2 linked regions of the Macaca mulatta genome follow. The protein of the gene in region 1 binds, or shares a complex with, the protein of each later gene. Links are inferred from orthologs where the notes say so. Each region holds a gene or a part of one and is shown on either strand. Other genes may lie near its edges.

What was found.
Region 2: the proteins of GPR161 (region 1) and GNAL are in contact, whole or in part, in a cryo-EM structure (PDB 8KH4), measured with the Homo sapiens proteins. The link is inferred for Macaca mulatta from reciprocal best matches to the Homo sapiens genes GPR161 and GNAL. Residues at the interface, in NP_001254539.1 of Homo sapiens: Arg125, Ala128, Val129, Leu130, Pro132, Met133, Tyr135, Pro136, Met137, Ile139, Ile211, Val214, Ala215, Lys218, Ala219, Lys267, Ala268, Thr271, Trp327, Asn328, Lys329, Arg332; in NP_001135811.1 of Homo sapiens: Ala41, His43, Lys203, Val204, Phe206, Phe363, Cys366, Arg367, Asp368, Ile370, Gln371, Arg372, His374, Leu375, Gln377, Tyr378, Glu379, Leu380, Leu381.

Annotation. Positions count from the first base shown.
Region 1 is NC_133406.1:25,630,486-25,634,294, reverse strand, and holds part of GPR161 (G-protein coupled receptor 161), read left to right. Parts: intron 1-2,872; coding exon 2,873-3,597; intron 3,598-3,809. UniProt on the Homo sapiens protein: Key negative regulator of Shh signaling, which promotes the processing of GLI3 into GLI3R during neural tube development.
Region 2 is NC_133423.1:81,840,895-81,845,225, forward strand, and holds the start of GNAL (guanine nucleotide-binding protein G(olf) subunit alpha), read right to left. Parts: upstream 2,983-4,331; 5' UTR 2,708-2,982; coding exon 2,356-2,707; intron 2,175-2,355; exon of another isoform or gene 1,795-2,174; intron 1-1,794. UniProt on the Homo sapiens protein: Guanine nucleotide-binding protein (G protein) involved as transducer in olfactory signal transduction controlled by G protein-coupled receptors (GPCRs).

The sequences.
Region 1 (3,809 bases):
CTGGGCCCAAGTGATCCTCCTCCCACCTCAGTCTCCCAAGTAGCTGAGTCTACAGGCACACACCACCATACCTGCCTAATTTTGTTTTTTATTTTTTGTAGAGATGGGTCTCCCTATGTTGCCCAGTCTGGTCTCAAACTCCTGGCTTCAAGTAATCCTCCTATCTTGGACTCCCAAAGTGCTGAGATTACAAGATGTGAGCCATTGCGCCTGGATGGAATGTTCTGTATCTTGGTAGAGGTGTAGATACGTGCATTTCATTGTACCTACCTTTTATCCTCCCACCCCCATCAAAAACATACTTAAAAACAAAACCCCTGGAGGACATGGCTGTACATGGGCAGGGCTGTGCCTGTGGGGCTTCTCTGCCTGTAGGAGGCTGACCTTGACTGAGCCAGCACCCAGCTTCACTGCCCCAGCTTCCCGATGGCACTCAGGATGCAGCTGGGAGAAATCAGTGTCATGTCACACTGGAACTGCCTGTGCCTGAACCTCAGTCAGTGAGTGATATGGGTACCATTTGTTACAATAAATGAGAAGTCTTGCCATAAAGTAATAATAATAACTGGGTGTTGAGAAGAGCCAGAAGGAAATCTGGCAGAGGACAGCACATGAATTGTAATCATTTTTATGGCCTCCAAACAGGGTTGGTGGAAGGAGGCCTATGGTGAACATTCACCAGGCCTGGCTCCCACAGCCGGCTGTACACTCCCGAGGTGACTGAGGGTGAAGTGTCTGCATGCTCTGTAAAGGGACAGAGAAAAGTAGAAATCTCTGCCTTGTTTCTTTTGAAAAGTGAAGGAAACCTTCCTAGACCCACTGCTCCCCTCCCCGCAGTCCCACCCTAGCAACCCCCTCACATTTCATTTGCCAGCATGATGTCAGACAGGTCCAGGTCTCAGCAGGCCACCCACAACGGGAAGGAGACTACCGTGTGGCCTGCTCACCCCCCAGGGCTCAGAAGGGCCAGTGTCCCGTGGGGGTCATCGCAGGAGCAGGAGCAGTGTAGGGCTTTTGTCCTCAAGGAGGATGGGGGAAAGGTCGATGGCCAGTCCCCCATTGAAGGGTAGGCACCATCCGGGCCTTTTCCATGCTCTTCCTCATTCGTTCCTAGGAGCAGACCTGTGATGTGGGTGCCACAATTCCCGTTTTCTAGATGAGGGAACTGAAGCTCTGAGAGGTTCATCAGCTGGCTAAGGTCACACAGCTAGTAGACATCAGAGCTTCCATCTGAACTTGAATTTCCAGCTCCAAAGGCATGCTTTTTCCCTTGGGCTGCATGGCCTTTGCAAGATGCAAGCCCAGATAGCAGTGAAAGACAGTAATCACCTTACCCAGCCACTGTGCAGTGATTCTGTAATCGACATCCTAATCACTGCGCAATCTTCTCCTCAGGCCCCACAGCTGGAAATGCTCTCTTTCCAGGCTAGATCCTGGCCTGGGCTCAAGGCTCAGCTCAGAGCAGCCCCAGGCTCACCCCTGCTTAGGAAGACCAAGGAGGCATCACCTCCAGTTAGCACGTGGCAGTTCAGCTGCTGGGGCCCAAGGGTGACTCAGGGCGGTCCCTGTGGTGGAGCTGGCTTCCCAGGCGATGTGTGAGGCACGTAGCCACAGTCATTTCCCAACGTCCTGCCTGTGCCAGGCGGCATCAGTGTGGCAACCCGTCCCTTCCACATGTTGCCCCCATGGGAACATCCTATTTCCTTTGGATAAAATGTCTGGGTTGGGAGGGTGGTGGCTGACTTTCAGCCCTGTGGTCTAAGTCCTCCCACCCTTTCCAGTTAAAGGGCCAGTCCTTAGCTGGGCCTACATGCCCCGGCCATGCCCACCCGGCCTGCTTCTCTCCTCCTCTCTCCATCCTGCACTCTCTGTCCTGCCAGGTGGAGCTCCCTGTAGCCTCCCCTCTGAGATGGTGCTCACTCACATCGCCATACCCCACCAGGCTAGCTTTCTGCCTGGGGTGGTCCTGGTCAGTGCCTCCAACGCTGTGAGACCTGGGTCTGGAGCATCACCTGCATCAGGAGCCTGCTGTGACCTTCTGTGCTGGACCGGAAGCCTGCCAGTTTGAATTGATAGCACTCCTGGCCCACCTCCTTCCTGGCAGCACTGAGTGATTTGGAACCGCCCCCTTGACTGTGGAACAAGAAGGCTTACACAGAATTGCTGGGCGTGTGCACTGGGGATTGTAGAGTCAGATTGCCTGGGTTTATGTCTTTCTCCCATGGGTCTGGGGTGCATTATTTAGCCTTTCCCTGCTTTAATTTCCTCATCTGTAAAATGAAGATAATGACATACCCACGCTCATGGTTGCTGTGAGGACTCAATGTGGCCCTTACCACTCCAGGCCGTGATAGTTGGCTCAGGTGTCTGCCTCCCTCACATCTTCTCAACTGCATTTCCAGGACATAGCACAGTGCTTGGCACATTGCAAGCCTTTGGTAAATGTCCATTGATTGAATGAAGCCCATAGTCCTTCAACATCATTCTGGTTCTGATGATCCCTCTGAAAATTGATCTGAATCGATTAATGTCAGCAGCAGCAGAACTGATGTGGCCCAATGCATAATCCCTTAGGACTCCTGTAGGTATCTCAAGACTGGCCACACCCCCAAATATGAGTGGGCTCTGGTGTGGTGACTTGGAAACAGGAAGGTTCGAGCTCTGTGTCTTGCCGGTGTTGAGCTCTTCTCTGGTAAAGGGCTCTGCAGAGCTGTGGAACATGATGTGGTCTTTGTAACTTGTCTGGGGAGACCTGGGGGAAGGTGCTGCTTTTAGAAACATCCAGGCCAGTCATGGGAGCCCCTGACGCAGGAAAGCAGCAGTTTTCTCTCTGCTGACTTCTCTCTCTTGCCTCCCTCCATCCCTTTTCTAGCTACTATGCTGTCCTGTACCCCATGGTGTACCCCATGAAAATCACAGGGAACCGGGCTGTGATGGCACTTGTCTACATCTGGCTTCATGCACTTATCGGCTGCCTGCCACCCCTGTTTGGTTGGTCGTCTGTGGAGTTTGACGAGTTCAAATGGATGTGTGTGGCTGCTTGGCACCGGGAGCCTGGCTACACGGCCTTCTGGCAGATCTGGTGTGCCCTATTCCCCTTTCTGGTCATGCTGGTGTGCTACGGCTTCATCTTCCGCGTGGCCAGGGTCAAGGCACGCAAGGTGCACTGTGGCACAGTCGTCATCGTGGAGGAGGATGCTCAGAGGACCGGGAGGAAGAACTCCAGCACCTCCACCTCCTCTTCAGGCAGCAGGAGGAACGCCTTTCAGGGTGTGGTCTACTCGGCCAACCAGTGCAAAGCCCTCATCACCATCCTGGTGGTCCTCGGTGCATTCATGGTCACCTGGGGCCCCTACATGGTTGTCATCGCCTCTGAGGCCCTCTGGGGGAAGAGCTCTGTCTCCCCGAGCCTGGAGACTTGGGCCACATGGCTGTCCTTTGCCAGCGCTGTCTGCCACCCCCTGATCTATGGACTCTGGAACAAGACAGTTCGCAAAGAACTACTGGGCATGTGCTTTGGGGACCGGTATTATCGGGAACCGTTTGTGCAACGACAGAGGACTTCCAGGCTCTTCAGCATTTCCAACAGGATCACAGGTAACTTGGGCGTTGTTAGGATAGTCCCTCCGAGGCAGATGAAATCTGTGGTCCTCTCAGCCACGCTGGCCTGTTTGTGGGTGGGTTCTCAGGCTGACTGGTGGTGAGGCTCAAAGCACAGATTTCCTGTGGGAAGAAACATTCCAGAGGCTCTGCTGTGATTCCCAGGGAGCTTCCTGTCACTCAGCAGTTCACGGCCATGCTGACCAGGC
Region 2 (4,331 bases), on another chromosome or scaffold:
AGCAATTATCCGAGGATATTAATGGTCAATAAGTCATGTTTCTGACTCAAAATTTTCCAGCTAAATCCATTTTAAAGCCTAATAAAATCAAGAACCTTTGTGTGTTTAACTCAAATCTATATAAAATCGGATAAACAACGTCAACCCCATGTAACAGTATGTGTTTTAGTGTAGATATCATTGGTGGAGGATACAATACACTCTCCCTGAAAAGTGAGTCATTTGATTTTATGTCACTTTAGCTATGATGCTGATATATAAAATCTATGAGGCTATGAGATGATGTCTTCAAAGCGTACTTTCAAATGTGTTACAAGAAGCTGACTCTTTAGAGCTCACCGTTCTGTTCTTCAGACCATATCTCATCCCATGTTTTTCACAGATTCATAGTCTAATAATTTTTATTATATAGAAAGCATTTTCTGCTTCCCATATCATTTTATTATTTTTAAATTATGTTCAACTGTATAATCACATCAAAACAACGTTGGGTTGTCACAACTCCTGATCCTATTTGTCTTCTTGTTTTTTGTTAGTTTCTTGAGATGATGATTCTCTCTCCCCTTTAAAAAAATTCTCCCCTTTTTGAATTATTTTAATTTAATGCATTTAAAAAATTTTGGCTGAAGTAATTTCCAATTAACGTCTTTCCAGGCCGAGCATGGTGGCTCATGCCTGTAATCTCAGCACTTTAGGATGCTGACGTGGGTGGATCACTTGAGACCAGGAGTTTGAGATCAGCCTGGCCAACATAGTGAGACTTGTCTCAATTTATTTATTTATTTTTATTCATTCATTTATTTATTTTGGAGACAGGGTCTCCAGCGCACCACCCAGCTAATTTTTGTATTTTTTGTAGAGACGGGGTTTTAGCATGTTACCCAGGCTGGTCTTCAACTCCCGAGATCAAGTGATCCGCCAGCCTCAGCCTCTTAAAGTGCTGGGATACAGGCATGAGCTGCCGCTGTCTCTATTTTTTTTTAAGTTTCCTTCCAGAAATATATGTGGATGAGAGTATACTTTGAATACTTGCATATCCAAAGATTTATTTTACCCTCACACACCAACAACGGTTTAACAAGGTATGAAATTCTAAAGTTACACTTCTGTATCCTCAGACCTCTGGAAACGTGTGCTCTGCGATATTCTGCAGGTGAGCACTGGAGGGGGCAGCTCTGCTACTGCTCAGCCCACGTCGCTGTTTGAGATAACCTGCGTATTTACTGGTTTTTGTTGTTTCTTCAAAAACATTTCCCTTTGCTTTAAAAATTAGATATTTCATTCACCAGAATACAACAGCTAGGTTTATGTTGTTTTAAATTATTAATTATTGCAGTGCAGTGGACAAGTCCTCTCAAACTCAGTATTTATTGTCTTCTAGATCTTAAATGAAAGTTGCATTCATTTATATGCAGGCATCTTGCTAAAATCATGGAATACCTTCTCTTCCATGTATAGCAGAGACCATAGACCTGAACGACTATTCTTCCTTACATCTCACAAAATTGCCATCAAAAGCCCAATTATGATTATTTCGTCTTAAAATTTAAAAGGCAACAAGTAGTATCAGGAAATCGTGATTTTTTTTTTTCATTCTACGGTAGAGTGCATAGAACCATGTTTTCTGATTGTTGTAGGAGCACACGTACTTGCTATAGGTAAGCTCTGAAAAATACTACTAGGAGAGCAAGCATCTGGTTCCTTGAAAACGCCGGGATTCGGCGCCCGCCCTCCTGCACGCGGTTACACAGAGAGCACGCCGGGGCCGCCACCCCCTCGTGCCGCTGGTTCTCCAGCGGAGCAAACTTCCCAGAGCCGGGGTTGATCTTCCTCCACAGTAAAACCTAAGTGCAGCTCAAGTTCTTTCTCAAAAGGTAGCAGGCCACACCCACCCACAACACTGTGCTTGGAATAAAAGCTTTGCGGTCAAGCTAAAAGGCCTTATCCATCTCCTTTCATCTGTGTTCTGAAACCAGACCGCCAGCCTCCGCGTGCAGCAGGAAGTGAGAGGCCAGGGTAGACATCCCCGGGGATCAGACCCTGCGGAAGGCGCTCAGTCGAGGGCGAGACTTCCCAGAGAGGCTCGTTAATGAGAGCGAGCGAGCGAGCGAGCGGCAGGAAAAGCTCAAGGCACTGGGAGCGGCAGAACCGGCCCGTAGCGTCCTCCCGGCCAGGTCAGGGGAGCCATTCCCCCCCCAGTTTAAACACTCCGCAGCCGGTCCGCGCCCGCCGCCCGTCCGGGTCCAGTCCCGGGATTCAGGAGCCCCTCCCGCCGCCGCTCCCCGGCGCCCACCAACCCCGCGGGCCCGGCGGGCTGTCCCCGGGGCGTGAGCCGACCGCGCGACCGGGACCTACCGAGCAGCAGGAGCCGGTGCGTCTGCTGCAGGTCGCGCTTCTGCTCGCGCAGCATGCGGTCGATGCCCCGGCTCACTTTCCTCGCCTCCTTGGCCGCCTCGCGCTCCTCGGCGCTCAGCTGCTCGGTGCGCTGCCGCTTCTCCTTCGGCTTGTCTGCTTTGGGCCGAGCGCATACCGGGCTCCCGCCGCCGCCCCGAGGGAGCGAGGTCCGAGCCGTGTCCCTTGCGGCCGCCCGGACTGGGGCCGGGGCCGGGGCGGGCTGCGTGTCCTGCACCGGGGGCTCCGAGGCCGCGCAGGGGTCGTCCCCTGGGCCCCCGAAAAGCAGCGGCCGCAGACTGTAGCACAGACCCATGTGGGCGCGGCACGGCGGGGGCGGCGCGCGGGACTAGGGCGGGCTGGGCGCCGAGGGCGGCCTGGTTCCCGCGCCCAGTTCAGGCCGGCGCCCCTGCGGAGGGGCGAGAGGGGGCTACACCCGGACCCTGTTCAGCGCTGCCGGCCGCCAGCTGCGGGAAGGGGGTGCGGCAGGCCCGGGCCGAGGGCCACGGCCCCTCACTGCCCCAGAGGGCCATTTTGCATTTTCCGCTGGGTGCAGGGGGTGGCGGCCGCCTTGGCTGGAGATCACTTGATAACGCCCAGAGCTGGCCAAGCCGACGGGCCTCAGCCAGCCCGGCCCCGTTACCGTAAATGCCGCCGCCGGTCCGGCCCTCGCTACCGTAAATACAGCTGGCTTTCGTTACCGTAAATACCGCCGCGCGGGCGAGTATTCTGTACCGTAAATAATGCCGACTGAGCCCGGCGCGCAGCTGCGGACAGTACCGCAGTGGCTGTGCAGTCAGCACCTGGAGCCGCAGTTGCGGCAATTAGAAAACCAGGGTGGCTTTGATCTTGGGTCATAGTAACTGAGGACGGAAAGCTGGGTGCAGGAATAGCGACCGTGGCTTTAAAGCCTTCAATTTCCCCAATCCATTGCTTGCAGAGATTCTGCACCTTGCCACTCCCTTTTCTGCTCATTATCTTACACACATGCCCGCACACTCTTTATCCCTACTTTAATACTACTATACCTTTGACCTCTACAAAATCTCCAATTCTGGAGTCTGGTCCACGACACCATTTTCAACAATTTCCACCCTTAAAAATGAAAACCGAGGACATATAATTGCCATGTACTATTTATATTTGCTGAAATGAGAATATGAGATTGTACACTGTATTTTCTTAATCCACAATATAGCGCAGAGAGGAGCAGATGCGCCTTCAGACTGGGTGCGCTCTCTCCATGACGCTGAGAAACAAGCCCGCCAGAGGTCCCATGTCTCCGGTTATTTCCCACTGAATGCACAGCATCTTGTAGAGCTTCTGCAACAGGTGAACATTTTAATATAGCTTGTGAATAACCTGCTGTAAGATGTGTTCCTTGGTTTCCGGGAAAATGACATGTAATATTATAACTGATAGTTAAATACATCTCTTATTAACACACCAGATTAGGCTGTTTAATGAAACGTAGCATGCAGCGCAGTGTACACTGCACCCGTTGGCACTAGATGTAAATACTACATTGGATTACATTTTTTCTTTTTGAGACAATCTGGCTCTGTCGCCCAGGCTGGAGTGCAGTGGTGCGATCACGGCTTACTGCAACCTCCACCTCCCCGGTTCCAGTGGTTCTACTGCCTCAGCCTCCTAAGTAACTGGGACTACAGGCGCCCACCACCACTGCCAGCTAATTTTTCATTTTCTTTCTTTCTTTTTTTTTTTTTTCTGGGCATTTTTAGTAGAGACGATTTCACCATGTTGGCCAGGGTGGTCTCGAACTCCTGACCTCAAGGGATCCAGCCACCTCGCCTCCCAAAGTGCTGGGATTACAGGCGTGAGCCACCGCGCGGGGCCTGGATTACATTTTTAAATCAAGAAGTTGGAGATCCGGCATTCACATTTCTTTTGGGGGTCCTGCTAATAACAAATGTGCATAC